4 separate regions of the Mus musculus genome follow, and regions 1, 2 and 3 are each reported to be linked to region 4. The links are microRNA targets in miRTarBase. Many come from high-throughput screens and were not tested one by one. Region 4 holds a microRNA gene; each other region holds the end of a gene's coding sequence.

Evidence for each region. The annotated mature microRNA mmu-miR-466q reads GUGCACACACACACAUACGU and lies in region 4 at 3,508-3,527, opposite strand. An mRNA with a match to its seed (bases 2 to 7 or 8) in the 3' UTR can be bound and repressed. Matches are read on the target gene's strand: a 7mer-m8 pairs with bases 2 to 8, a 7mer-A1 pairs with bases 2 to 7 and ends in A, and an 8mer does both.
Region 1: the mRNA of Cavin3 is a reported target of mmu-miR-466q. The part of its 3' UTR that is shown has no 7-base or 8-base seed match.
Region 2: the mRNA of Trpc6 is a reported target of mmu-miR-466q. The part of its 3' UTR that is shown has no 7-base or 8-base seed match.
Region 3: the mRNA of Wdr26 is a reported target of mmu-miR-466q. The part of its 3' UTR that is shown has no 7-base or 8-base seed match.

Annotation. Positions count from the first base shown.
Region 1 is chr7:105,475,012-105,482,127 of GRCm38, reverse strand. Cavin3 (caveolae associated 3) reads left to right here. Exons shown (of 2, transcript NM_028444.1): 1 at 1-352; 2 at 909-1,512. The coding sequence ends at 1,307. Among named protein-coding and RNA genes, the nearest start is that of Cavin3, 3.6 kb to the left of the region's middle.
Region 2 is chr9:8,679,472-8,686,595 of GRCm38, forward strand. It overlaps Trpc6 (transient receptor potential cation channel, subfamily C, member 6), which reads left to right. Exons shown (of 13, transcript NM_013838.2): 12 at 1-72; 13 at 943-1,270. The coding sequence ends at 1,094. All of the region lies in intron 4 of Gm32014 (predicted gene, 32014), which reads right to left. Among named protein-coding and RNA genes, the nearest start is that of Gm32014, 58 kb to the right of the region's middle.
Region 3 is chr1:181,171,904-181,179,026 of GRCm38, reverse strand. It overlaps Wdr26 (WD repeat domain 26), which reads left to right. Exons shown (of 14, transcript NM_145514.5): 14 at 1,196-5,801. The coding sequence ends at 1,221. Among named protein-coding and RNA genes, the nearest start is that of Cnih4, 25 kb to the right of the region's middle.
Region 4 is chr3:28,416,391-28,423,514 of GRCm38, reverse strand. It overlaps Mir466q (microRNA 466q), which reads right to left and starts at 3,572; the gene lies at 3,497-3,572. The region is part of intron 2 of Tnik (TRAF2 and NCK interacting kinase); the gene reads right to left.

The sequences.
Region 1 (7,116 bases), not on the chromosome of region 4:
GCCTGAGACGCCCGCAGGGGGTCCGGTGCACGCAGTCACCGTGGTGACCTTGCTGGAGAAATTGGCCACCATGCTGGAGGCTCTGCGGGAGCGGCAAGGCGGCCTGGCTGAGAGGCAGGGCGGCCTGGCGGGCTCCGTGCGTCGCATACAGAGTGGCCTGGGTGCGCTGAGTCGCAGCCACGACACCACCAGCAACACACTGACGCAGCTGCTGGCCAAGGCGGAGCGCGTGGGCTCGCACGCCGACGCAGCCCAGGAGCGGGCCGTGCGTCGCGCTGCTCAGGTGCAGCGGTTGGAGGCCAACCACGGGCTGCTGGTGGCGCGCGGGAAGCTGCACGTCCTGCTCTTCAAGGTCAGTGACCTCAGGCATCCCTCTCCCGCCCCCAACCCTCGCCTCTAGGTTACCACCGAGGGAAGGACTCCTGCCACCCACCCGTCCGCATCTCCACATTCCTGACCCAGCGTGCTGCCCTCACTTGTGGAAGACTCTCAGAGCCGCACCCACTTTCTCACAACAGCGACCTTATCCCTTTCTCACTCCCAGCCTGGCCAACCCACGCCCTCCCTAACTCAGGCCAGTCTGCGGATTTGGTCAGTCGCACCCACATGGAACTAACTGTTAGGTGTTACTCTGCCTCCTCCAAGCGCCTATACAGCTGTTACACTCTACACGGTTTCATCCACTTTGCAAACTTGCAAGGTCCACTTTCCCCCTCTTTGCTCATCTCTCTGCTCCTCCATCCTCCCCATCCCCCATCTTCCCATTCCTCTATTTTGGCCCCAATTCCTAGTGCAGATGCAAAGGGTGGAGTAGCTTCCCTTGGCGGGCGGGCAAGAGAGTTTCAGGCTGGTCCTGGCTAAGTGCCAGGGTCAAATCAGAGAATCAAAAGCTGTGTCATCACATTTAGGAGGAGACTGAAATTCCAGCCCGCGCCTTCCAGAAAGTCCCAGAGCTCTTGGGTCCGGAGGACCAGTTGGTGCTGGGCCCAGATCAGCCAGAGGATGAAGTTGGAGAGAGTTCTGAAGAGGAGCCAGTGGAGTCCAGGGCTCAGCGGCTGCGCCGCACTGGTTTACAGAAAGTTCAAAGCCTGAAAAGGGCTCTTTCCAGTCGTAAAGCAGCACAGCCCACACCAGTCAAGCCGCCACGCGTAGGGCCTGTCCGGAGCTCTGAAGGCCCATCAGAAGGCCAGCCTGCAGCTCAGCCTGAAATGGAGTCCGAGCTCGAGACTGCCCTGGAGCCAGAACCTCCTCAACCTACCAAGGAAGATCCTGAGAAACCCGTGCTTCAAATAGAGAGCGCAGCCTGATCCCTGGGGCTGCCTGTCCCATTCGGTGCTTAAGCCTTGTCCCAAAATAAGTACTTATAGAGTGCAGCACTTACATCCAAATAAGGAGAGAATCCTGCATCCACTGCCCAGCTCCAAAGCTTCCTTCCTGGCTTTCCAGTCTGAACCCTGTGTCCTCTGACAGAGGAGCTTTCAGCCTAATTTAGGTTCACCACCAATAAAAGCAATTTTCTCTAACCCAGACTCAATGAGAAAGGGCGAGCGACAATGCGCATGGCTTGGGGAAGGAATGGGCTGAATGACAAACGTTCTCACTTTTCACCGAATCCTGGGTCCTCCATTGGCACGGAGAAATATTGGCCACTTACTGCTTAAATACATTCCTCTTGGGGACACATAAGTACAACTTTGGGGCCCGGCCTGGGGCGGGGCAGTATGCAGTTCTTTGAAGAAAACGCCCTAGTTAATGTCAGCTAATGCACTCTTCCTACTTCTGGTGTCTGACACTCACAGACAGCTCACACCATTGGGTTGGGGTGCATTTAGAAAGCAATCCAAAAACAGCCCTTGGTCTACTTTCCTTCTGCCAACAAAACAAAACAAAGCACACAAAGCACTCATTGTTTTCAAAACCAAATGAGTAATCTGATAGGTTGAGAGAATCCAGGCCTCCTAGAATCGAGCATCTCTCACAATGAGTGTGACGAACTGACTGTGTCTTCATGTCAATGCATAAAATAAAAAAAAAATAGGACCTCCATGTTTTTTAGATCTTGTTAGGGTTTGAATCTGAAAGGTTCCCTGAAGGCTCATTGTTGGGAGCTTGCTAGCTTTCTGTGTGTGTGTATGTGTGTGTGTGTGTGTTAGAATGGCTTGTGATCTAATCAATGGAGTATGCCCTTGATTTATCCATAGTATGTCAGTCTTATTGGGAGACAGAGAAAAGAAGGAGGTTAGACTTAGTTGGAGAAAGCAGACAGATGGATGCTATGCCTGCTGCCACAATCTGCCTCATTTCAGGCCAAAAGCCGGCACCCATTTTAAAAATTTAAAAACCAATCTTCTCAGTAGTTAGTATAGCATGCAGAATTAATTTCCCACTTGATGCATAATAGAGAAACTGCAGTGTTAATTCCCCGTTGAGGGGACATGTCATGTCAGTCTCATGGACTTTCAAATATTCTGGAATGTTTGATGTTCACCACCATTTATGTGGGCACTCCCATATCCAGCACAAGCGCAGTCATCATAAATACCAGTGGGCACGGTGTGTGTGTGTGTGTGTGTGTGTGTGTGTGTGTGATGGATTAGCTACTACCTTCTTAGGAAAGGGGTCTGCGTGTAAGCCCAGCTGCTTGAAGTCGGCCAAGCTTCTCACTCCTTGGCCAGGTAGGGCAGAAGCACAGCTGGTTGCTCATGATGTCTTACTACGGGTGTACAGATAGCAGCTGGCCCACACATCTGGTGGAGCTGCTATGGGTGCTGTGACTAGATCTGAGGAATGGCTGAGACACCAGTGGGTACTTCTGGGCCAGATGGCACACACAGAAGACGTGCATGTGATTGGGAGACAACCTGCTCTCTTATGTCACTTAAGGGACAGAAGTTGCCCAGTGACTCTGGAAGTTTGTTTTTTATCATATTAAACAAACAAACAGAAGCATTGTATCTCTGCATATGTGTGGAGGTTATAGGACAACTTTTCCTGGTTGCTCTCTTTTCCCGCTGTGGGAACTGAACTCGGATCACCAGGTTTATGCACACACACATTCCTACCCCTGGGGCCATCCTTGGCCCTTTATTTTCTAATTTAAAACATTCTTTTTAGGTTTATTTTCTGTGTTCTGCCTGCATGTATGTATGTGCACCACATGTATGCCTAATGCCCACAGAAGCCAGAAGAGAGCACTGGGACTTCTGGAACTGAGTGACAGATAGTTGTGAGCTAGGAACTGAACCCAGGTCCTCTGCAAGAGCAATGGATGTCCTTAACTGCTGAACCATCTCTCCAGCTCCTATATTCTTTTATAGCTTTTGAATAAGCTCCATTCAAAACCAACAGTCATCTATTGAGTGCCTACTATGTGGCAGGCCCTGCTGAGTATGATTCAGAATTAAAGTTAAGCTTTCTGGTTGGATAAACGATTCTGTCGCTCCCTCACACAAGGAAGCAATGATCATGGACTTGACTCCCCGTTCACATTCTTATCTGTAGCCCTTTTAGGCAGTCTTTCACGGGACCAGGGTTAGACTGCCTGCCATATCCTGCCAGTCTCCCGATTCACCCCCTTATTGTCTCTTATCACCTTCACAATAGAGCTAAAGCTTCCCACTGTCCCTGAAGACCTCTTGTGAGTTGGTTCCTTCTGTCTCTTGCTGGGTGTCCTCACGCAAGACGGTCTCTGGTTAAAAACTCCGAGCACTGAAATGATGTCACAAGTGGGAGATCACACCTCACCTCATGTGACAGGTCACTATGGGAATGCTGTTGCACCAAATGTTTTATACAGAAATTCCCTTCAAGCTATGCTTATGAACTGCATGAAAACACAAGCATGTGGGCTCAGGGTCCAGCCCCAAGAGCTCTCATTGTACTGAAACTATGTTGTCGTGTTGAGCTACGTGATCTAAATCTCATCTCCTAGAAAACTCAGCAAGGCACACCTGTTTCAGGGTCCAGAGCACTACTTGCTCAGTCCTCAATGCTCTATGACCTGGTCGTGGTTGTGGTTGCTACCTCACCCCACTCTGCCAGACTGACAACTGCACTGGAGGAAGTTCCACTCATTGTTTTTGTGCTGCTGGTGCTCCTTCTGACCACATGGTGTCACTATTGGGGTACCAGTGTCCTAGCTGCTGCTTCATCCAACATTCCACAACTCTGTCAGCTTGGTTTGACTTTCCAGAAAGGGAACAGTTGATTCACTTGACTTTGTTGGTCTGGGGCACAGGGGGAAATTGGAGGCTCCTCCTGCAGGCTCCCAAACCTTAGCATTCACACCACACCACACCACACCACACCACACCACACCACACCACACCACACCAGGTTGCTGCCTTTACTTTCAGAAATCTGCCACTCACAGGGACAGGAAAAATAAAGCCTCGACTTTTCAAATCCCTAGGAATCCACCTGACTTCTCTCTTTTAACTCAAAACAAAAGGAAGGCCTTAGAAGAATATTTTGTACCCAAAAGGTCTAGGTTCTTAATTTCCAGAAATTTCTAGAAACCCAAAGACTTGGCGAACTTCCAAGAAGGTAGAATGTTAGTTTTCATTTTTTCCTAATTGGTCTACAGTAGCAAATAATTGAATCAAATGAAAACAAAATTAGCTCTGTTTCTTAATAGGCCACTTGGTTACATTATGTTCTCAATTGTCACAGTTACAGTAATTGCTAATGAGGTTATAGATGCAAAGGCAGAGAGGCACAGGCCGAGCACCAGCTGCCCCACAGTGCAGCACAGACAGACACAGCTGCTGTAAGCAGGTGGACACACACCGATGGACCACTAAATTTCAGAGGTTGGCTCTCAGATCTTTAGGCCAGAAATGGAGATGTATTTGCTGATGCAGCATGATTCAGCTGAAATAGCGAAGTTCAAGAAAGATTGGTGAACTCTACTGCTAGATTCATTAATGTCCTTAAGCAATCTAACTGCCGAGTAAGCCAGAGAGAACATTTTTCATCTTGCCACAGAGCCTACGAGAGACGTCAGACAGATCATAGAGCATATAAAGATAATAAGTAAGGTGACCGAGCCTGTTTTCTGATGGGATATTTCTTCTACAGCAATAAAGAATACATGCGCTCATGGTGAGGAATTTCTCCCCTGAGTAAATACAGGAAATCCTTTGGGCTTTTCTTTCTTGTAAGTAGAGGACTCATAACCCCAGTCCTGAAGACCCCTCAAGGTCATTGTGTCCACTAGAGTGTCTTGCTCAGTCTTGTCTATTTTTATCTGGTCTGTGTTTGAGAAAGCCCGGAGTCCAGGAGCTCACTATCTTCCTCCCATCAACTCTCTTTTTAGACAACGTAACTGACAGCAGTGGTTAGTTTTCTGTCAACCTGACCCAGGTAGAATCTTCTGGAAAGAGAGAACCTTAATTGAGATTGACCTCCAGGCAGGTCAGTGGGGTCACTTTCTTGATTAATGATTGATGTGGGAGGACCTATCTTAGCGTGGGCAATGTCACCTCTGGGTAATTAGTCCTGGGTTGTTTAATATGGTGACCTGCAAGCTATAATTGAAGGTACTCTAGCCAGCTTGGGCCTGGCAAACATGGCTCTGGCAGACCTTGACCTTCTTTTGCATCACCTCTGCCTTGCTAAAAGCTGTTAGATTACATCCCTAAAGCTAGTCACCAAGGTATATGCCTTTATTTGGTCACTTCCTCCTCCTGAGACTGCCGAGCAAAGCCCAGCTGTCAAAGTATTGGAGTCCAGCAATCAAAAGCCCCTCTTTGGCTCACCTAATTGACATGCCCAATCAAGATACACCACTGAATCCTAGCCCATTCGAACGCAGACCTCCCCTTTTTCTCTTCTTAAAAACTACACCTGCAAGGTCGTTTGTTGCTGTTTTTCTGCCTGGGGTAGAAAGCAGCGACATTAACTTTTCTTCCTCGATTAATAGAGGGTTTCTCTGTGAAAACAGGTGTTTGGGTGTGGTTTCTACTTAATCAGTGTGTGTGTGTGTGTGTGTGTGTGTGTGTGTGTGTGTGTGTGTGGTGTGTGTGGTGTGTGTGGTGTGTGTGTGTGTGTGTGTGTGTGTGTGTGTGTGGTGTGTGTGTGTGTGTGTGTGGTGTGTGTGTGTGGTGTGTGTGTGTGTGTGTGTGTGTGTGGTGTGTGTGTGTGTGTGTGTGTGTGTGTGTGTGTGTGCGCGCGCGCGCATGCGTGCGCTTGTGTTTCTTTAACAGTATAGTAAACCCTTTCCTCCTTAGGTGGCTTTTGGTCACAGTGTTTATCACAGCAATAGTAAGCACACTAGGGCAGTGACTGAAGCATTTCCTATCTCCTGAGGTCAGAATCTCTTACTATGATTCCCGTCCGTGGCAGTTGCTTCTCCTCCTGGGATATGTTGGAGGAGGCCTACTATATATAGCAGGGTACACCGGGCTGAGTCATCTAGGACTTCCCCAATCTCTCCTCAGCCCAGTCATTATTTGTCCTTGTTTTGTGTTCTTTTAAGCCTTGGCTTTTTCCTGTGGATTGTTTTAACAAACATGTTTTAAACTGGTAGGTGTCCAGCTGCCATCGGAGCATAGCTTTCATATTCAAAGACATCTGGGCTTCATGGCTGGCAATTGCCAATTTTCTTTACCAGGTCTGTTATGAGAATTAAAAAAAAAGACTGTTTAACTTGGGGTGAGGATAGCACGCTGGTGGATCATTTGCTCAGCATGAGGTGCTAGATTCAATTCCTAGTACTGGGAAAAAAAATACTGTTCTTTTGATATTTGTGGCTTCTTGGGAGGTTAAGGCAAGAAAATTACTGAGTTAAAGGGCATGAGAGCCTACAAGACCCTGTCTGGAAAAGCCCCCTTCCTGAAAAGGATGAGGCCTTTATGGAGTTCACATGAACCTTGCCTTTGTAACAGAAGTTGCTGTACTTGAGAGTCGGGGCTTCCCTATGTAGTCCAGCCTGTCCCTGAGTTCTCAGTTCTCCTGCATAGACTCCTGAGTGGCACCATGCCCACCTTGTAATACAGTTTGGAGTTAAGTGCTCTGTTCCATCAGGGGTGGCCATTACAGGGAAAGCCTCTTAAGGCCTTCAGCAGTCTTCATGCCAACCTGACTTCCTTTTCTAGTTGCTGACTCTTGTTGAAT
Region 2 (7,124 bases), not on the chromosome of region 4:
TCATGAAGAGACTCATTAAAAGATATGTATTGCAGGCCCAGATTGATAAGGAGAGCGATGAGGTGAATGAAGGTGAGTTGACCATAAGGAAAAAGCTTTCCAGTATGAGTTAAGGCTGTGTGCAGATGTGGCGGTAAGAGAGAGAGAGGGAGAGCTGGGCATGCAGTAGATGAGCCTCAGGAAGCCATAGAGAATAAGCTCTCTCTGACTGTGTTAGTAGCTTTTCCCACTGCTGAAGCAGCCTGCCCTACAAAGCAATGAAAGGAAAAGAGGATTTATTCTGTTTCACTGTTTAAGGGGACAGTCCACCATGTTGGAGAAGTAGAGTGAAAGTGGACAGCCCACTGTGCTGATGGGAGGGACGGGAGGCAGCTCTTATACTATGTCTGCAGAACAAAATGAGTGGCTGTGTTGGGCTCACGCTCTCTTTTGTCCCATTAGAACTCTTGCCAAGAGTCTGGCGCAGCCCACAGGTTAGATGAATCTTCCCATGGCACTTAGACATAAATCCCTTACTAGTCCAGATGCTAGTCAGTCTCCAAAAGATCCTAGATCTTGTCAAGTAATAATCAATATTTGCTGTGATCACATCCATCAAAGGTACAAAACGGTAGGGCAGAAGCTCTTTGTCCAGAGACTGCATGGTCTAGATGAAACATTGTAATTTTTATGGGGTCTTGTTGGAGGTGTCTGGGAAAGGCGAGCTGTGCTACCACAACTCTCCAAGTCTCCAGATAACTAAAATTTTGCTGTAATTAATTTTCTTCCCTGAGTAAAATAGAAAGGTTTTTTTCTGATTGGGAAGCTTTTCCTTTGAAAAGATTCTGAATATGGTCAGGATTGTCTTTATTCTAACCTGGAATCATTGGTTCACACTTCATATTCATAGAAAACTTCATCTGTTATTTATAGTTAACTTCTTTTTATTCTTCCTCTTCACAGGGGAATTGAAGGAAATTAAGCAAGACATCTCAAGTCTCCGTTATGAACTCCTTGAAGAGAAATCACAGAACACAGAAGACCTAGCAGAGCTCATTAGAAAACTCGGGGAGAGACTGTCGTTAGAGCCAAAGCTGGAGGAAAGCCGCAGATAGAGCAGAGCCCCTCAGAAGTGCATATTTATTTCTCCACTTGAAGCCATATTATTTTCTGACTTATTTTTTTAAGTGTCAATGATAAAAAGTATGTTAACTGATAACTTGGATCATTTAGAGTCCTAATATCAACTTTTTGGGTGATTAAATTGCATTGCTGAGGCTAACAATTGCTGATAATGCTGAACAGCCTGCTCATTTCCTTGGAGCTTGTTTTCTGGATAGCTTTCTTGGGTAGGGGGAGGGTAACTCTTGTGCTGGTGTGAATGCCCCTCCTGTCTGCTCGGTAATGGGCCTCAGATGGCCTAGGGTATGTTTAAGCTGTTCCCTGTGCTCCTGTTGTTCCCTGACAAAGTGAGTTGCAGCATCTCGTTTCACCAGGGACTTCCTACCCTAGAATATAGAAGAAAATCATTTAGAGTGTGCTGTAACCACCATCTAGGTACTCAAAATAATTGATACTGCCTGGTCCAACTTGCTTTAGAGCCTTGTGTGGTAGCAAACTTCTGTTAGATCAGCACTTGGCAGTTAGAGAAAGGTCTGGAACTTAAGGTCCACCTTGGCTACATGGTAAGATTCTCTGGGCTACATGAGACCATGTCTAAAAATCAAAACAAAATAAGCCTATACCTGTGTTCAATTTTCTGCCACACCTGTTTAAAAACACTTAACAATGAAAATGGTTTTCCTGGATAGGGAACATGGGAACATGGGAACATGGTGTGTGTGTGTGTGTGTGTGTGTGTGTGTGTGTGTGTGTGTGTGTAGCGTGTAGCATGGAATATTAAAAAGCAATTCATGCTACCACCTGCATTGCATTGGTGGGCAGACCTGCCTGTTCTCATCTTGGCAGACTCGCTGATCTGGAGGTCCTAAATCTGTCCAACTGGCTCACTAAGTTCCCATGGCTGGTTGTTACCACACCAGCCCCATACTTCCAGGTTCCCAAGATTTTGGGAGTACACTTCTTACAAACCCACGCTTTGCCTCTGTACCTTTCTCTCTGGAACCCAGTTGAGCACCACATGAAGGAAAACACCACCCAAACTTAGTTTAGAACCAACAGTTAACACAATTGTTGGGTGCAGCAACTAGCATTCTAATTTGTAAGCCATTCTAAGTTAATTCTCAGGTAGCAGATCCCAACATATTTTCCACCTGACCTGAGAGGCTCTGCTTTCTACATTTTGGCCTCCATGCTCCTCTGCTGTCCCCCAAACCAAGACCCTCTCCTCTTCTGCCATCCCTTTCTCTGATCCAGAAATCCCACCTACATGCCCAGTGACTGGTTCCTTGAAATCTTTATTCATTAGGGGAAGGCTCACAAGAAGTCACCGGAGTAGTGATTCACTCCTCATCCCAGGCAGCCCCTCCTGGGGAAGCGGAATTAGTATCAAAATGTGAATAGTACCAGGGCTATCCAGTGTGTGTGTGTGTGTGTGTGTGTGTGTGTGTGTGTGCATGTTCTCATACATATGTATATATGTGCATGCACGTTTATGTAAGTCTGTGTGTGCATACGCACATACTACATGTTTGTCTTCTTTTGTAACTAATATGAATCCTCAAAACTTATTTATTATGACTTTTTAAATTGTACCTAAAAGTTACTACTCAATAAGAACGCTTTTATTACAGTTGTGTCAAAGTCCCAAACACTGTAATTCTTTGGTTCCTTGACAGCACAATTTTGTGCCATTTCTGAGCAATTTACAGACAAACTCCCACATCCAATTCCCTGTGATATTTGCAAGCACTGATCTTGCTGGAGGAAGTGAATCACTGGAAAGCAGAGCACAGAGTTCATTGGTCTGTCCTTATTAGTGTTCCTTGTTTCTTGGTCAAATATGATGTGATGGATCCAACAACATAGCATGGTATTCTTGCCATGATGGAATTATACTCCTCAAGCCGTGAGCTAAAATTAATCCTTCCTCCCTGAAGCTGCTTCTTGTCTGGTGTTTAGACACAGGAACAAGAAACTAGCTCATCTTCTAGGCCTATGGATGAAACTGCTAGAACCTAAATTGGAATGAGACATCACACGTTTGGGAGAAAGGATTACTGAGCATGTACCTTGTGCCAGCCTCTCACACCCATTTTCTACCAAAGTTTCATTTCTGTTGCTGTTTCAAAAACAGAGCGCAACTTATGGGGTGTTAGGTTTATTTTAGTTCACAATTCCAGGTCATAGTCCATTACAGCAGAAAAGTCAATACTGTAGGAACTGGAGTCAGCTCATCATAGGAAGAGCAGAGAGACATGCGTGCATGCATGGGTCCTATTCAGCTTGCTTTCTCTAGTCATACAGTCTAGGACCCAAACCCAGAGAATGGTGCCACCTACAGTAGTCTGGGTCTGCCCTCATTAATAAACATAATTAAAATAATCTATCATAAAAATGTTCATAGGCTAGTCTGGCCCATAGGCAATTGTCCATAGGCAATTCCTCATTGAGAGTCCCTTCCAAGATGATTCAAGACTGTCAATTTGACAATACCACCACATCCATTATCTAACTTACTCAGACACCATGCTTATGAAAACCATATACTTATTTTGGAAATAAGACAAACACCAAGTTTTTAAAATATAAATAACTTGTGAATAGAAATGCCAGGGTCAAGAGTGAAGCACAGCTCCCTCACCATTATTGCTACTCTCCACTGGCTAGAGGTGGAGTCTCATACTGTGTTTAATCTTTCAATAAGAAACTTTGGTCTGTACCCAGCACTCAAGGTTCCATTGAAGCAGACCACAGCCTCTGATGAGGAAGGCTCTTATCAATAGAAGATCTGCTTCCAAGTGGATGTAGGTACAGGGGAGAAAGAAATTTTTTGTTACTCACACATTTTTTTAACTGAATCTCTTATAACAAAACACAGACAAACATACAGGTTTATGTAGTACTAACCTTCTGTGACATTGAGCCTTCAGCAATAAATACTCACAGAATATATAAACTTACATATTTTGCTTTGTTTGATGAAAAGCAGACAATCATGAACAAATATTTAGATAGATGGTTAATGAGACTCATAGTTTCAGTCTCATTACATATGTATTTATATGTATGTGCTTGTGCCTGTGTGTCTGTGTACTATGTGGGTGTGTACATGCACCTATGTGTGTTCCTGTGTATACATGCAAATGAGTGCATGCATGTGTTCAAATGATTACTTGACTTTTTCTTTTTTTTAAGTAGGTATTTTCTTCATTTACATTTCCAATGCTATCCCAAAAGTCCCCCACACCCACCCACCCCCACTCCCCTACCCATCCACTCCTACTTCTTGGCCCTGGATTTCCCCTGTACTGAGACATATAAAGTTTGCAAGACCAATGGGCCTCTCTTTCCAATGATGGCTGACTAGGGCATCTTCTGATACATAATGCAGCTAGAGACACCAGCTCTAGGAGGTATTGGTTAGTTCTTACTGTTGTTCCACCTACAGGGTTGCAGACCCCCTTAGCACCTTGGGTACTTTCTCTAGCTCCTCCACTGGGGGCCCTGTGATCCATCCAATAGCTGACTGTGAGCATTCACTTCTGTGTTTGCTAGGCCCCAGTATAGCCTCACAAGAGACAGCTATATCTGGGTCCTTTCAGCAAAATCTTGCTAGTGTATGCAATGGTTTCAGCATTTGGAGGCTGATTATGGGATGGATCCCCGGGTATGGCAGTCTCTAGATGGTCCATCCTTTCATCTCAGCTCCAAACTTTGTCTCTGTAACTCCTTCCATGGGTGTTTTGTTCCCATTTCTAAGAAGGGGCAAAGTGTCCACACTTTGGTCTTCGTTCTTCTTGAGTTTCATGTGTTTTGGAAATGGAATCTTTTATCTCGGGTATTCTAAGTTTCTGGGCAAATATCCACTTATCAGTGAGTACATATCAGGTGAGTTCTTTTGTGATTGGGTTACCTCACACAGGATGGTGACCTCCAGGCAAATGGACCTCCAGATCCATTTGCCTAGGAATTTCATGAATTCATTCTTTTTAATAGCTGAGTAGTACTCCATTTTGTAAATGTACCACATTTTCTGTATCCATTCCTCTGTTGAGGGGCATCTGGGCTCTTTCCAGCTTCTGGCTATTATAAATAAGACTGCTATGAACATAGTGGAGCATGTGTCCTTATTACCGGTTGGAACATCTTCTGGATATATGCCCAAAAGAGGTATTGTGGAATCCTCTGGTAGTTCTATGCTCAGTTTCTGAGGAACCACAAGACTGATTTCCAGAGTAGCTGTACAAGCTTGCAATCCCACCAACAATGGAGGAGTGTTCCTCTTTCTCCACATCCTCGCCAGCACCTGAATTTTTGATCTTCGACATTCTGACTGGTGTGAAGTGGAATCTCAGAGTTGCTTTGATTTGCATTTCCCTGATGATTAAGGGTGCTGAACATGTTTTCAGGTGCTTCTCAGCCATTCAGTATTCCTCAGGTAAGAATTCTTTGTTTAGCTCTGTGCCCCATTTTTAATGGGGTTATTTGATTTTTCTGGAGTTCACCATCTTGAATTCTTTATATATATTGGATATTAGTCCCCTATCTGACTTAGGATAGGTAAAGATCCTTTCCAATCTGTTGGTGGCCTTTTTGTCTTATTGACAGTGTCTTTTGCCTTACAGAAGCTTTGCAATTTTTTGAGGTCCCATTTGTAAATTCTCGATCTTACAGCACAAGCCATTACTGTTCTATTCAGGAATTTTTCCTCTGTGCCCATATCTTCAAGGCTTTTCCCCACTTTCTCCTCTATAAATTTACTGTCTCTGGTTTTATGTGGATATCCTTGATCCACTTAGATTTGACCTTAGTACAAGGAGATAGGAATGGATCAATTCGAATTCTTCTACATGATAACCATCAGTTTTGCCAGCACCATTTGTTGAAAATGCTGTCTTTTTTTTCCCTAAATGGTTTTAGCTCCCTTGTCAAAGATCAAGTGACCATACGTGTGTGGGTTCATTTCTGGGTCTTCAGTTCTATTCCATTGGTCTACTTGTCTGTTGCTATGCAGTTTTTTTTTTTTTTATCACAATTGCTCTGTAGTACAGGTTAGGCATGGTGATTCCACCAGAGGTTCTTTTATTATTGAGAAGAGTTTTTGCCATCCTAGGTTTTTTGTTATTCCAGATGAATTTGCAGATTGCCCTTTCTAATTCATTGAAGAATTGTGTTGGAATTTTGATGGGGATTGCATTGAATCTGTAGATTGCTTTTGGCAAATAGCCATTTTTACTATATTGATCCTGCCCATCCATGAGCATGGGAGATCTTTCCATCTTCTGAGATCTCCTTTAATTTCTTTCTTCAGAGACTTGAAGTTCTTATCATACAGATCTTTCACTTCCTTAGTTAGAGTCACGCCAAGGTATTTTATATTATTTGTGACTATTGGGAAGGGTGTTCTTTCCTTAATTTCTTTCTCAGCCTGTTTATCCTTTGTGTACAGAAAGGCCATTGACTTGTTTGAGTTAATTTTATATCCAGATACTTAACTGAAACTGTTTATCAGGTTAAGGAGTTCTCTGGTAGAATTTTTAGGGTCAGTTATATATACACTATCATATCATCTGCAAAAAGTGATATTTTGACTTTTTCTTTCCAAATTGTATCCCCTTGATCACCTTTGGTTGTCGAATTGCTCTGAGTAGGACTTCAAATACTATATTGAATAGGTATGGAGAAAGTGGGCAGCATTGTCTACCCCAGTGATGAAGGTGGGGTGTTGAAGACTCCCACTATTATTGTGTGAGGTGCAATGTGTGCTTTGAGCTTTACTAAAGTTTCTTTAATGAATGTGGCTGCCCTTGCATTTGGAGCATAGATATTCAGAATTGAGAGTTCCTCTTGGAGGATTTTACGTTTGATGAGTATGAAATGCCCCTCCTTGTCTTTTTTGATAACTTTGGGTTGGAAGTCGATTTTATTAGATATTAGAATGTCTACTCCAGCTTCTTTCTTCAGACCATTTGCTTGGAAAATTTTTTTCCAGCCTTTCATTGTGAGGTAGTGTCTGTCTTTTT
Region 3 (7,123 bases), not on the chromosome of region 4:
ACTTTTTTTTTTCTTAAAAGAGAAGTTGCTGATCTTTTGTGTTAAGTTACAAAACTGGTGACTTCTGATTTTTGTTTGTGTACTTAGGGGATATAAAATGGAATAGGATGAAGTAGTTAATCATGCTATGAACAGAAGAAGGGGCACTAACCTAGAAATCAATAGGCTGAATGGAACATACTAGAAACAAAAATATACCAGACATAGCACGTGGTGTGATTGCATTTTATATTGAAGTAGTATAAAATTGACTAATCCCCAGACCAGAGGAGTGGTTCTTATTTTTATGAGACTGTGTGCTTGCTCCTAGATTGAGAAGCTGGTCTAAAGGTGTAGACTGGTGCTACACCAGCTGTGAGTACTCTGAATCGTGATATTCTAGAGGAGCTTATCTTACTCTATGGGAACTGTACTGTAAGAAACGGCATGCGTGCCGGGCGTGGTGGCGCACGCCTTTAATCCCACACTCGGGAGGCAGAGGCAGGCGGATTTCTGAGTTCAAGGCCAGCCTGGTCTACAAAGTAAGTTCCAGGACAGCCAGGGCTACACAGAGAAACCCTGTCTCGAAAAACAAAAACAAAAAAAGAAACGTCATACGTACACTTTTCCCAAATGGAGCTGCATGGTATGGTCGACTTGGAGCAGCTGAAGGAGTTGAGGACACAGTTGGAATGTGCAGCTCTGCCTCCCTCATACTACCAGAGTTTTCTTTCCATCCTTTTTGTTATAAACTAGCAAAAATCTTCTTATTCTAATTATCTATTTCAAGCTTAATCTTAAAAATAGGAAATCGGGCATAATTATGCATGCCTTTAATCCCTAGCACTCAGGAGGCAGAGGCAGGTAGATCTCTTGAAGTTCAAGACAATCCTGGTCTACCTAGTGAGTGCCAGGACAGTCAAAGCTACACAGAGAGACTCTGTCTCAACCCGACCCCTTCCCCCCAGTGACAATGTAGAAATGGGAAATTCTAATTACTCATTCCCTTTGTCCCTTATTCAGCATAGTCACAAGGTTACAATTTAATGTATCACCTAGAAACTGGGAGAGACAACTGTTGTTCAGTGGTTATGAAAGTATCAATAATTTGTTCATTGTTACTTAAGTCTACTGTTCTTGATGCTGATTTTGAAACTTTCTAACTGGTATCTTTTTCTCTCTTTTTCCCTGCACATTTCATCCGGTCTTCATTCAGAGGAATGCAGTAGCATGGATAGTTGATGGCAAATTTGGAGCAGACGACTTCTGTTTAACTTAAAATTAGTCGTATTTTAATGGCTTGGGATTTGGTGCAAACAAACATGATTGATAGCTGGACAGACATGCTCGTCATGAAAAAAAAAAAAAAAGAACCATTTTGAAGCCCGATTGGGGCCAAACATTTACACCTTGCTTCCTAGTAACCAGTTGATGAAGCGCGTCTAGAACGTTGTTGGACACCATGTTGAATTATTCCCCATCGGTTGTGAAGAACTGTGCTACATTCAGGCTTACCCATTGAACTCAGTATATATATTTTTTCCCTCCTGCCTTTTGTCTGGTGGGACACCATTCTTGTTGCTCTTCTGTGTAATGAAGTTCAAATGCTTGTTTGGAAACTTTATTTAACAGTTTAGAAGGCTTGATAGGAAGAGGTCATTAGTCTGAAGAGTATACATTGGACAGGAAAGAATTTCCTTTCGTTTCTCCAAATCTTTCCGCCTTATTTAGCGTGAGATCTTTGCAGCTTGGTTCATGGATTCTAGCCTTGCCCGTTGCGCAGTATATGCTGATCAGATGATAAACCAGTGAACTATGTCAAAAGCACTCTCAATATTACATTTGACAAAAAGTTTTGTACTTTTCACATAGTTGTTGCCCCGTAAAAGGGTTAACAGCACAATTTTTTAAAAATAAATTAAGAAGTATTTATAGGATTAAAGTGACTTCATTTGTATACATTTGGAATCTAAACCAGCTTAAAAACAGTGTCCTCTGTGACTGAGATATGCAGTGTAACTGATGCTCTTCTGGAGTGCCACGTGAGACATGGCATGGTCAGAAACAGTGTTCAGAAGGACACGGCACAGGAAAGCCAGAGAGATACTTTCCCCTTTTTATTTTATTCCTGAAGGGACATCAGTACCTGATACTGAAGAAATTCAAGATTCAAAAGGAAAATTTTATAAATAAACCAGTACAGAAGATCAGCATCAGTCTAGGTTTTCAAGAAAGCTTGTTCCAAGTTCTCTGAACTTGAGGGAATCGTTTTGATGTGATCTAGCAGAAGTAGACATCAGAAGATAGACCTACTTTGGGAATTTATAGTGTAGTTAAATCTTAGAGGAAGTCAGCAGGCTACAAACATTTATGTAAACTGGAATTAAAGCCTGAGTCATTTCTCCTAATTGCCCTTAATGTCCAACATATAGGGACACTCATTTAAAGAAGATTCCTTCTCAGCTTCTCAGATGTTGCCATAATGAACCTCATTCAAACTGGTGCTGTGGACAGTCTTTCCCTCTCCCTCCCCTTTTAGTTTACGGGAATGTTTCCTTTATGGAAAAAAAGTGACTTGTCATTTTGAAGACCCTATATCTAACATAAGCCTGATTGATGTTCATGGTGTTTTCAACTCCATAATTGCTGGGTCTAACCAGTCTCCCTTGAAATCCATGTTTTCCAATAGGAGATAACCAGGGTGACCACAGCTCTTGGAAGGAAAAGTGGAATTAACTCCAATGTATCCTGATGAACAACAACAACAAAAATCTGGTACAACTTGCCCTTGAGGCCAAGCCAAGTCCATAGCATTCACCATGATCATATGCCCCTCGGGATCCTGAGAGAAGAGAGAGGCTTGTACTGAGGGGTCTTCCCATTGTGGGGGTCGCAGGGAGGGAAAAGCCAGGAAGGCAGTGGTCATTCTCCCAAAGTCCACCCATCGTAAGGAGGTGACAGATCGGAGTCAGCAGATTAGTAATTCAAATGGGTAATGGAAAAGATTCCTTTAAGCTTCATTTTTCAGAGACCATCACTTTAGAAAATCAGAGAAATCCTGTTTTGATACTTCTTAGTTAAAATAATATGTTACCGTTTATCTGGTACTTCATTTTCTTGACTAAAATTACTTTTCACTTTAAGCTTGAATAAAAATTTTCATTCATAACTGTATATAATTAAGTGGCAACTCCTCTTTACCTCAGTGCAGTTAAGACCATCTTTTGATTGATATACCCTGAAGCCATTAATCCATACACCTCAGTCTACAGTAACAATCCCTAACACCATGTGGGCACAGAACTCCACAGCTGTTTACAGATGTGGTTACAGTGTACCACGTGGCATGTGCATGATGCTCCCTGAGGGCTGTACCCATCAGGGCAGTTTTGTATCCAGCTGCACCTAGACCCGCCTGTTCACTGCTTCTGAAGTACATTTAAAAACACTGGGAGGTAAGAGCGTGCCCCGAAGGTGAGGGCCATGACCAGAACATAACTCCTGTTAGAGTGGAGTTACAACTATGCAAAGGTGTTGATAGTAGCTAGGTGAGTTCGGTTTCCAAGTCTGTCTTAACTGGCCGCTCCCTCTCTAGACTGGTACTTGACTGTGCCAATTTGCTGTAAGCATCTGTTTCGTATATTTGCCATGAAGTGAGTGTGGTAGAAAGGTGAAGAAAGCTAGGGTTTATGGTGGAAGAACCTGGTGACAGGATTACGTGAAAATCTCTGACATTGTGATAAACTCGATAAAGGCTTAAGAGAATTCTGTCAAGCCTGCCACAAGATGCTAACCAATGTATAAACTGAAAAGTACCAATACTTTTTGCACATAGATCAAAATAGTGGAGAATTTTGGCTCCAAAAATCAGGTTAGTAGGCTCAATTCCATGTGCTTAAAATGTTTCTGTTGTTAATGCATCGATTAAGGGCTAGAGTAAGAATGGAATTAAATGTCTTTTTCCTCTAAATTAACTGGTTATTAGTGGTAAAGTGTTGGATTTGGGGGGGGGGTCACTGAGGTTGGTTTGTGGGTGGTGATCAAAAGAATTAGCATGGGAGTTAGGGGAGATGACGAAGCTTCACACTTGGGGTTTGAATTCCATTAGTATTCGTGCCAGCTGTGTGGCATTGCTCTTCCTGGCCAGTTAAATGTCCTGGTAACCCAGGTAAGTAGTAAAAACAGGGCATTTTACTTGCAAATGTCCCCTTAAATTGGCTCATTTTATTGGGTAGGAGAACAAAAACTAGAATTCTCCGACTATAAGTAATTAAGTGGACCTGCTAGGCAAACAGAAGCAGTAATTCCGCAAGAGCAGTTGATGAGGAGCAGTCTGCCTTAAGGGGCGTCCTGTGGCATTAATAGAAAATCCTTTCCCACCCCTCCCCATCTTGAAATTTTCTTTTCTAGGATGTTGGTTCCTGCAAACAAGAACTGACCCTCTGCCTCCCTTGGGTACACGTCTTGCACATCTCTTGAACGGGGGCAATGCCTATGTCGTTTACTTTACAGCAGAAGAATGGGAGGAGAGGAGATACATTGTCTTAGTTGTTCCCATTTTAAAAAAATATATTTTTACTTAATTTTACTTTGATGTCTCATTTAGACATCACCAACTCTCCCTTTGTGTTGCTGGCCAAAGCATTCCCACCATTTCCAAAACCATACCTGATTTCACATAAACTGCTAACTTAAAGGGTGAATTTGCATTTACACTTAGACACTTTCTAAAAACAGGGTGAAATTAACCTAAACTTTGCAGTGTTGAGTTATTGTTATAGTCGCTGCCCTAGAGTTGCAAAAACAAGCTGTAAAAGCCCATCCCCTATCTACTTAATCCAGATTGCCTGGATTTAATGAAGTTAAAAGAGTGTGTGTGTGTGTGTTTTGTGTGTGTGTGTGTGTGTGTGTGTGTGTGTGTGTGTGTGTGTGTTTGAGTGTTTGAGAAAGAACTTGATTCCTAAAATATTCTAGAAACAACTTTTAGGTTGTCATTTTTACTGAATGTCTTGTGCACATGTAAAGTACCCTCTCTTGAGTTTAAGGCTTGGTTAATACTTGTCTATTTTTATAAAACTTAAAACTGTGTCCCATCTTTAACTTAGACATTTACATTATCAGGATCAACATGCTAGAATTAAATAACATTTGTAGGCTCAGTGAGGGTAAATGTTATTGGCAGAGAGAGAGAGAGAGAGAGAGAGAGAGAGAGAGAGAGTGTATGTGTGTGTGTGTGTGTGTGTGTGTGTGTGTGTGTGTGTGTGTGTGTGTGTTTTCCTGAGGGAGATCCCGAAAGCATGTATGTGCTTATAAACCAAGCTGTAGAGATCATGTAAAGACGCTGGGTGTTGCTCTGGAGGTTTCTGAGCTATGGAAAGGGATAGGGCATTGTGGTGTGATGTAGCTAACACAGAGCTCTTGGTATGGAGTAACAGTTAACTATGGACTGATGTTTCCAGACGATTGTGTTCTTAATGGGGTTTGCTTTTTTATTTGCCTCTCAGATTATGTTTAGTAGTTTAAATTTCTTTGTTTTATTATTTCATTAAAGTATAAAAACTTCAGGTCTCATATTTATTTTCACTTGTTCTACTAATTATTTACAAGACACTTTTTGGTTGACATTTATTTTATAAATGTGTGGTATATTAAATGTCTTTAATTTTTTTTGTTTTATTGAAATTACAGTAACTTTGATTTGCTTTACTGGGATTTTTAAATTTTATTTTAATTCCACTTTTTCCATGTCAGTGCACAGCACTTGCCCAGTCCTTTGTATCCCCTTTCTGTCGATTCAATAAACAGAATGAGTAATTAAGTAATTCTCGTTGCGTTCCATCTCACCAGACTGCCGAACTGGTGGCCATGACGTAGGGTTTGTGAATGGAATCTAAGGAAACATTTTTAGTGTACCTGAAGGCCATTGAGCACCCAGTCATGGATAAGGTAGATTCCAAACCTGTACTTAAGTAGAAGCGCATGTGAGACTCAGCTTGGAGTAGTGGTGGGTTAAGATTTCAATTTTCAAATCACTCATTAGAGGGAAAACACATTGAGATGGCTCAGTAGGTGAAGGGTGGTCTTTGCCAAGCCTGATGACCCAAACTTGATCACTAGGACCTATATGAAGCGGCAGCTGACTCCTGCAACAGCATGACCCCCTCCCAAGAAATGACCTCTAAAGAAATTAAAGGAGCATTTTTATTATGTGCGCTCACGTGTGCACCCATGCTCCCACTCTCTGAAATGAGAGACGGTATGGAGTCCCTTGAAATGTGAGGCATCAGACATGGATGCCAGGACTCTGAGAATCAATTGTTTTTATTATCTCCCATAGTTACATTGTATCAGCCTGTTACCCATCCAGTGACAGGGCATCACAAGACTGGGCTCTATGACTCCAGTGACAAGGGACTGACCACTGATTATGTGTATCTACTGGGTTACCGAGGGACACTGACAAACTGTTAATATCCTCAGTGCTTAGAGTGTTCCAGCCCCTATACAAAAGCCACTTGAATGAAACACAGTTGGTTTATAAGAGAGATGCTAATTCCCAGATGAGAGGAAGCAGCTATGAAGCTCAGATTCAAACCATACCTCTAAGCTCATGTCTATAGTCTTCCTTAGTCTATAGGTAGCTACTGATGAAAAAATTAGCTCAAAATTTGTTAGTCATTAAAATTAAATGATACAAGATTTCAAGAAGTATCTCTTCATTTAATTAACTAAGTTACTTAGCACTTCAAAGCCAGACCACTCTCTGAAAGCAACTAATGATAGACAAGACATTGAGCTGAGAATTCATGCAAGAAAATTGAGATGTTTTATAGTGTGATTTAAAACTTAACAAAGGGGATAAAGCAGACTTCAAGGCCATTTTAATCTTCATTTAATCTTTTAACCAAGTTCCAGGGCTACTCAAGGGGAAAGGGCACCAGGTGGTGGTGGCAGCCCACGCCTTTAATCCCAGCAGAAGACAGGCAGGTGGATTTCTTGAGTTCAAGGCCAGCCTGTTCCACAGAGTGGATCACAGGCCAGCTTGGGCTACACAGAGAAACCCTGTCTTGGAGAAACACAAGCACAGGGAGTGGGATGCCCCGTAGGCCTGGTTGGCTGGCTGGCTCAGAGGTCAGGAGAGAGA
Region 4 (7,124 bases):
GCCTTACAGCTGGATCTCATGTAGGCACTTCCTCAACTGAAGCTCCTTTCTCTGTGATAACTCCAGCTGTGGCAAGTTGACACAAAACTAGCCAGTACACCTGGTCCTTATGTTATCAAACATTCTTTCCAGTTGTGTCTACTTTGCAAAATCTGATTCATGCTACGAAGTGCTCCTTCTCCTTTATAGATTATAAAGACATGGAAATAAAACGTAACAAAAGCAGAGGTGCTGACACCAACAAATACAAAATTCATAAAGTCAAAGAAAATTAACTTTGTATCATGTGACTCAAAGGTCATATTTCTATTAAAGCTAAGCAAGATAAAAATAACTTCCCTCATTTTTATTGCTCAATTGCAAAATAAATAGGTAGTTATGCTGGGAGAACTTTGACAGGGGAAATGGCCAACCACCTTGCTTTAACAGTGTGCAGTAATTTCTGACCTTCACCCCCAAATTCAAGATTCTATGTGAACCCCATACATGACATTGGTACCAACCACTTATGCAAATTATCTAGGGGGTGGCTGCTTGTCATAACTGTCATTTGACATTGTAAAATACACAGAAATATATAAGATATTCAAGTATCTGATATCAGTGTACACTGATCTTCATAAGCAAAAGTGCAAATTCTTCTTTTTCTCAATTTATAAAATACATAAAGGGTATATAACATTTCAAAATATCCATGTTACATAACTAAATGCTCACCCTTAAGGATGCATGGCATTACTGGATATAACCTCCAAATGTACAGCTTAGACCTGGGCACACATTTTTCGTCTCACACATTTTCCTCCTGATATCTCCAGTTTGTCAAGAACACAATTTCACGTTGTAAGAAATCATTCTGAAAGCTCTTGTGTATGGGTAAGTACCTACATGGTTTAACCTGAGCTTCCTGATGACATAAGAAAGGTACCACTCCTGGCCTACTTCCTCAGAAAAAGGGCAACACCTTCCTTTGCAGATGATGGGGAGTTAGGAAGACAGATTATGGCAAGGAAGAGCTTTCCAGTGTGTGGTGGGTATATACAGACAGCTGGGCAGGAAGCCCATCACTGGGTGATGACTGCCCTAACAGGGGGCTGGGGCAAGCTGCACCATGTGGGATCAAACTCTAGAGGGAGATGGAGGTGAGATGTGAATAGATGGAAACAAGGTGTTCTGCCTGGGATGTCTTCAGGAATGTGACATAATCCCAGATAGAAAAGAATTACGTAATATCAGGGAAATGTCTGCTGTTAGGTTTACAGATGCCAATGGCAAGACCACTTGACAGTGAGAATGTCGGAGTCCAGATGATGAGGCTAAGAAGGATGGAGGGAGCCATGAGCAAGCTCTAGTTGAGAAAGAGACCCAAGATGACACTAACAAATAGTAGATTCCCAGCAGAGGGAGCACAGTTAGCTAAAGCACGCATCGTTAACATAATGACTGGCTACATAGCACACACTATTCAGCTGCCATCCTTTCTCCATACCATAAAGGCATAGCTCGACCACATCAGAAAGCAAAAGCCACACAAGGCAGACAGCAACAGCTGAAAACCTGAGGAATTATTTGCCTGTCAGAAAGAATGTTATGTTTGGGAATCTGTGTGGAATTCTTTCTCTGGCTTCAAGATCACAGATCTGCAAGTGTGAGAGGCAAGTAAAACAAAAAAACGAGTTCTAGACCACCGAAGCGACAGCCTTTCATTTGGGTGACCAACAGTGAATCTCTTGAGCATCAGGACAAATTCTAAACAATGAAAATCCCCCCACGCAACCCCCCAAAAAACAATAACAACAACTTAGCATTTTAGAAGCAAAAGGTCTCATTCGTGTGGATTTTCATTAAAGAGTAAAAGAAAAGATCTAAAGCCACAGGAAACTGGAAAGACAAATCAATGGGGGAAATAAGCTCCTGGTGGTCAGGGTGAAGGTGCGTCCCAGCAACGCTGACTGAGCTTTTGCAAAGACAATGTTTGTGTGCTCTGCGTCCTAGTGGCCAGATGTCTTAGCCAATGGTGATGGGAACTGACTAGACCAATCCAGCAGGGCCAATCCAGAGGAGAGACTTGGCAGGAGACTTTGTGTTTTAAGGTGGCTCCTCCAGTGTGAATTTAGGGAAAATATTCAAAGGATCTGTGGCCACTCTCAGATGTTTGCTTTAAAGGGGGCACTTGTGGGGCTAGCAGGATGGCTCAGAATTAAAAGCACACACTGTTCCTACAGAAGACACTAATCTGGTTCCTAGCACCAGTATGATAGCTCAGCCCATCTGTAAATCTAGATAGACTGAGACTGACTCCCACCCACAGTCACCTAGCACACAAATGATGCACAGACATGTATGCAGGTAAAACAGCCATACACATGAAATAAAAATAAATACATCACATTAAAGGGAAAAAAGGGAGAGGAGAGAGAGAGAGAGAGAGGAGGGATGGTTGTCTCAAAAGAATTAAGACCATACTTAAACCACCCTTTACCTGTTTCCTAAGCTTATTCTGTCTTTCATTCTTTTCTGTTAATTGTATCGGGTGAGGGGCTAATGAGAGCTAGCTGTTACTAGCTGAGTGTGCTCTGCTGTCGTTTGGATGGGGTTTTCCCCATTGCAGCTCTGAGCAGAGCACCTGGTAGGCTCCTCGTCATATTTGCCCTAGCCAAGCAAGCCAGGAGCTCAAGGAAACACCTCTTAAGTGTTTCCCAGTTTGGAGGTTGCACACACATCCCATGTTTGGCTGCTATTATAGGCCAGAAGTTCCTAACACAGTTTGACTAAAATACATCCACTCTTTTCATTTGATGTAGATCTAACCTAACTTGTGCAAAAAATACTTATGCAAAGATACACAGTGATGGCAAATGAAATGCTTCTGTTGTTGTAGTTCTTCTTGTGCTCCTGCAGTACCAAATCTCGGCCACGAGCCACTTGTGAAATTCTGCCTTCTTCATTTCTAACCCTGTGAATAATGTCATTCATCCTGGAATGGAGTGATGGGTTACGGAAGGACAGATCAGCGTGACCTCTCTAGTGACTACAAGCCACTACAATTGTCCTCAGAGATGCCCGAGGTCCTCTGAGTCTCTGGAGCCCTTTTTATATATTAATACAATGACATCAAATGCTATTTTCGCTCTTGCCCCACAGTTGTACAGTGGAGTTTCCCAGAGGCTGCATGCCACAAGATGATGTCATCACTGCGGCTAATGGACATTGTGTTATGCATTAGTAATATTGTGCTTTAAAAAGTCCTTATTGTATTTAATGAAATCACATTTATTGGCACTATAATAAATGCTGGTAGACAATCCATCCAAACATACGGTTCTTGCACTCTTCAGTAGTATTAAGAATATAAAGCACACCTATAAGGCAGCTCAGAGGGTAAGGGTGCTTGCTGCCAAGCCTGACAACCTGAGATCAGTCTCTGGGCACTACTGGGTAAAGGAGAAAATTGACTCCTACGAGTTGTCCTATTATCTCCAGAGATGAGATATGGCATGCATGGGTACGTATGTGTGTGTGTGCACATATACTACACACACATACACACACACACACACACACACACACACACACTAAAGAGAAGGTAATAAGAATATAAAGGAGATTTTTAAAACTGTTTCAGGAGTAGAGGGGTCTTCCTAAGGTAGACTTTAGATAAATATGGTAGTGACTGCCTGTAATCTCAACACCCAGGATGTTAAGACAGGAGGACTGAGTTCAAGACCAGGCTAGACTAGAGACCCCTGTTTCAAGCATGGGAAGGAGTTAAAAATAAAGAATTTCACTAAATTCCTTCAGTTTTCTGCATGAAAATTTCTCAGCTCTTTTTTTTTTGCTCCACCCCACTGTTAAGCACTCTCTTGTGATATATACATTTAATACTTCAATAAAGTTTTATTTGCACCTATTGCAAACCCCACCTTACCCCCCAGATAGTAGTAAAGTCTACTAGTAGTATACCCATGTGGACTCAGCTGAGTAGAATCCAGATGCCACATTCTTCAGAAGGGTTTTCACAGCCCAGAGCAAAAAGTATCCAATTGTCTATTTTCTTCAAGGAATATACCGAGGCTTTCTGAAGCATTTATACTACCTAGTCACTTCGGATCCTACTCTGTTTCTCCAAATATGAATTTCATGTCAGCTTAAACCTAACATGGCTCTCAAACGCCAGTTTTCACCCACTACTTCCACTCATTAACATACTTGTGGTGAGCACCTAATAAAAAGAGAAATGGCAAACTCTAGTCACAAATATAAAACACAAAGCAAACTCGAGAAAAGTTTTTGTATATTTTTACAACTCGGGGAATTTTTCCTCACCCAAATCTAATTACCGGGAGCCTAGGAAGGAAAGTTCACATCATAATGTATGATGAGAAGCGTTTCCTCTAATTATACAAACATGATACAAATAGTTCTGTGCAAAGTGCTTCACTGGATAAATATTAGCATGCCATTATCATCGTTCACTGACTAATCTGGGCACTGGCACTTCTCTGCAGACTTCGTAAAAAACAAGGGAAGAGGAAACGAGGTCATGAGTGAGTCCTGCTGCACACAGGAGCACCCTATGTATCTCCATCTCAACTCTCTAATCAGATGAGAAGCATGCATGCTGCCCATGGCTTCTCGATGAAGATACTGATGCTCAGAAGAGGTCGGTACTTTGTTCAAGACTGAAAGAGAAAACTGAAGCTGGAGCCCATCCCATGCCTGTCTCTGTCTACTCTGGTGCCCGCTTTCCAGCAATCTTTTTTCTTAAGAACCCTCACCCGAGGAAGCATGTTCCAATACCAGTTGACCCAGAAATCAGAGTTGTGAAGGCTTCTTCTGGCGCTGTTTTGCAGCACTTGTGTGTTTTCAACAGGCATTCTTAGTGGACCAACAGAACAAACGATACTGCAGTTAGCAGTTGGCAGAGCACTGTGACAAATGATACACTCTTAAAAGAAATTAGAGAGCAGAATCTACAGTTAACATTGCTTTGTCTCGAGACCAGCTCCCCTGTACACCATTCTGATATGCAAAAGCCAAGCTGTGTATAATGTCCCTTGTATGTATATTTCCAGGGCTGTCCATTTGGTATTGGATAAGCAATTTCTCCTGTTCTCCGCATTTTGTAGGTCTTTGTGTAGGATGGAGGGCTTTCCACTGCCTACTTCAGCATGTCTAGTGTTGCCCTTGTTCAGCTCATGTTTAGATGTTATGGATATAGTTTCTAACTGAATAGGTTGTATTTATGTTTTTAGAGATATACCTACCTACCTACATACATACATACATTCCTAATATGTGTGTATGTGTGTAACAATAAATAATGATAAAAGAGGCGATGAGTTTGAAAGAGCACAAGGCATTGTGGGAGGGTTTGGAGGGAGGAAGGGGATAATGATGTAATTATATTATAATCTCAAAAAGAGGGTAATTTTTTTGAAATGCTTATATATATATATATATATATATATATATATATATATATATATATCCATGGGACATTCATGGGTCCAAGTCAAACTTCTGCACTCTGGGCTGTTGAGGAAGGGCAGGGTCTGCGACACCGACATGCATTTCTATGCCTAAACATAACTCCAGGTCAAATAATGGTAGGCATATCATTGTATATCTGTTATGACCAAACTGGAATTTTTGAAAAGTCTAGAAGGTGATGCATCAAAATGATGAGCCTCAAAAAATTAACTCTGGGCAGTATAATTTCCAACTACAAGATCTTTTTGTAATTGTCCTACTTGTTCCAAAATTATTAATATATAACATGGATAATTCATAAAAATGGAAATGACTGGACTCTATGTAACATATGGTTTTAATAATTTCACTGTCAGCCTGATAAGATAGCTCAGTAGATAAAGCATTTATGCATAAGGATCGGTGTGCAGACCTTCAAATCTACACAACAGCTTGGTAGGCATCGTGGCCACTTGTAATCCCAGCTCTAGAGAGGCCCAGACAGGGATTCCCAGGGCAAGCTGTCTAACTGGATTAGTGGATGGGCAAGTGTTAGATTTCATTGAGAAATGCCTCAGCAAACAGAGAACTGTCCAGGAAGATACTTCAGGTCTCCTACGCACAAAGACAAAGGTTTGTGTGTGCCAGTACACATCTACACATAGATACACACACAGAGGAAAGACAGAGGTTGTCTCAGGAGCATGGTAAACTTGATGACCCGAACAGCTGCTTGACAGATCCCTGACAACTGCAGTGACAGTAACAGTCACCTGCTCAAGCCACTCTGCACATGCTCATTGTGAACTGCCCTCTCCTTGGTAAGTATTCACAGCAGACTACTGAACAGAGTGCTTCTCACATTTTGTGTCAGCTGTCTTCTTTTAACAAGGGTCCCCCCCCCCCGATTCATTATGTATTTTAAATTTTCTAAAATATAACTACTAAATGTACTAATTTTCACATTTAAAAAAAAAGCCTAAGTCAGGTGATATGTTTTTGTAAAACCACTGCTAAGGAAGTAGAAACAGGTGGGTGAAGACATATGGTCAACTTATGACCACCACACATGTGCAAATAACTTATATGTGTGCCTGTGCCCCCCCACACACACACACATGCACAAACACATGAGTATAATTCACCACTCAATCCACCCATCCTCTATTGCTCCCTTGGAAGCTCCAAGCCGGTGCTTTTGTTCCATTTGTGTCTCCTGAGATTTGCTTAGTGAACCACCGAAGAGTTAAATGGGTACAGTTTGACATGTATAAAATGGGATGTAGACGCTGGAGAGATGCCTGGGTAACTCAAGCACTAGTTAGGCAAGTGTGAGGACCAGAACTAGGATTCCAGAACACACATAAATGCACATGGCAATCCAGCTGTCATTCCAGCCCAGGAAAGTGGAGATTCCCAGAGTAAGCTAGATAGAGTGCTCAAATCAGCGAGCTTCAGGTTTGATGCAGAGATCCTGCCTCAGTGGAACTGAGCTATGGAAGATGACCCCCAACACCAACCTCTATCATTCTCCTGCAATATACACATGCATATAGACACACATCAGTGTGCCACACACACGGACACACACACACAACACACACACACACTCTCTCTCTCTCTCTCTCTCTCTCTCTCTCACACACACACAC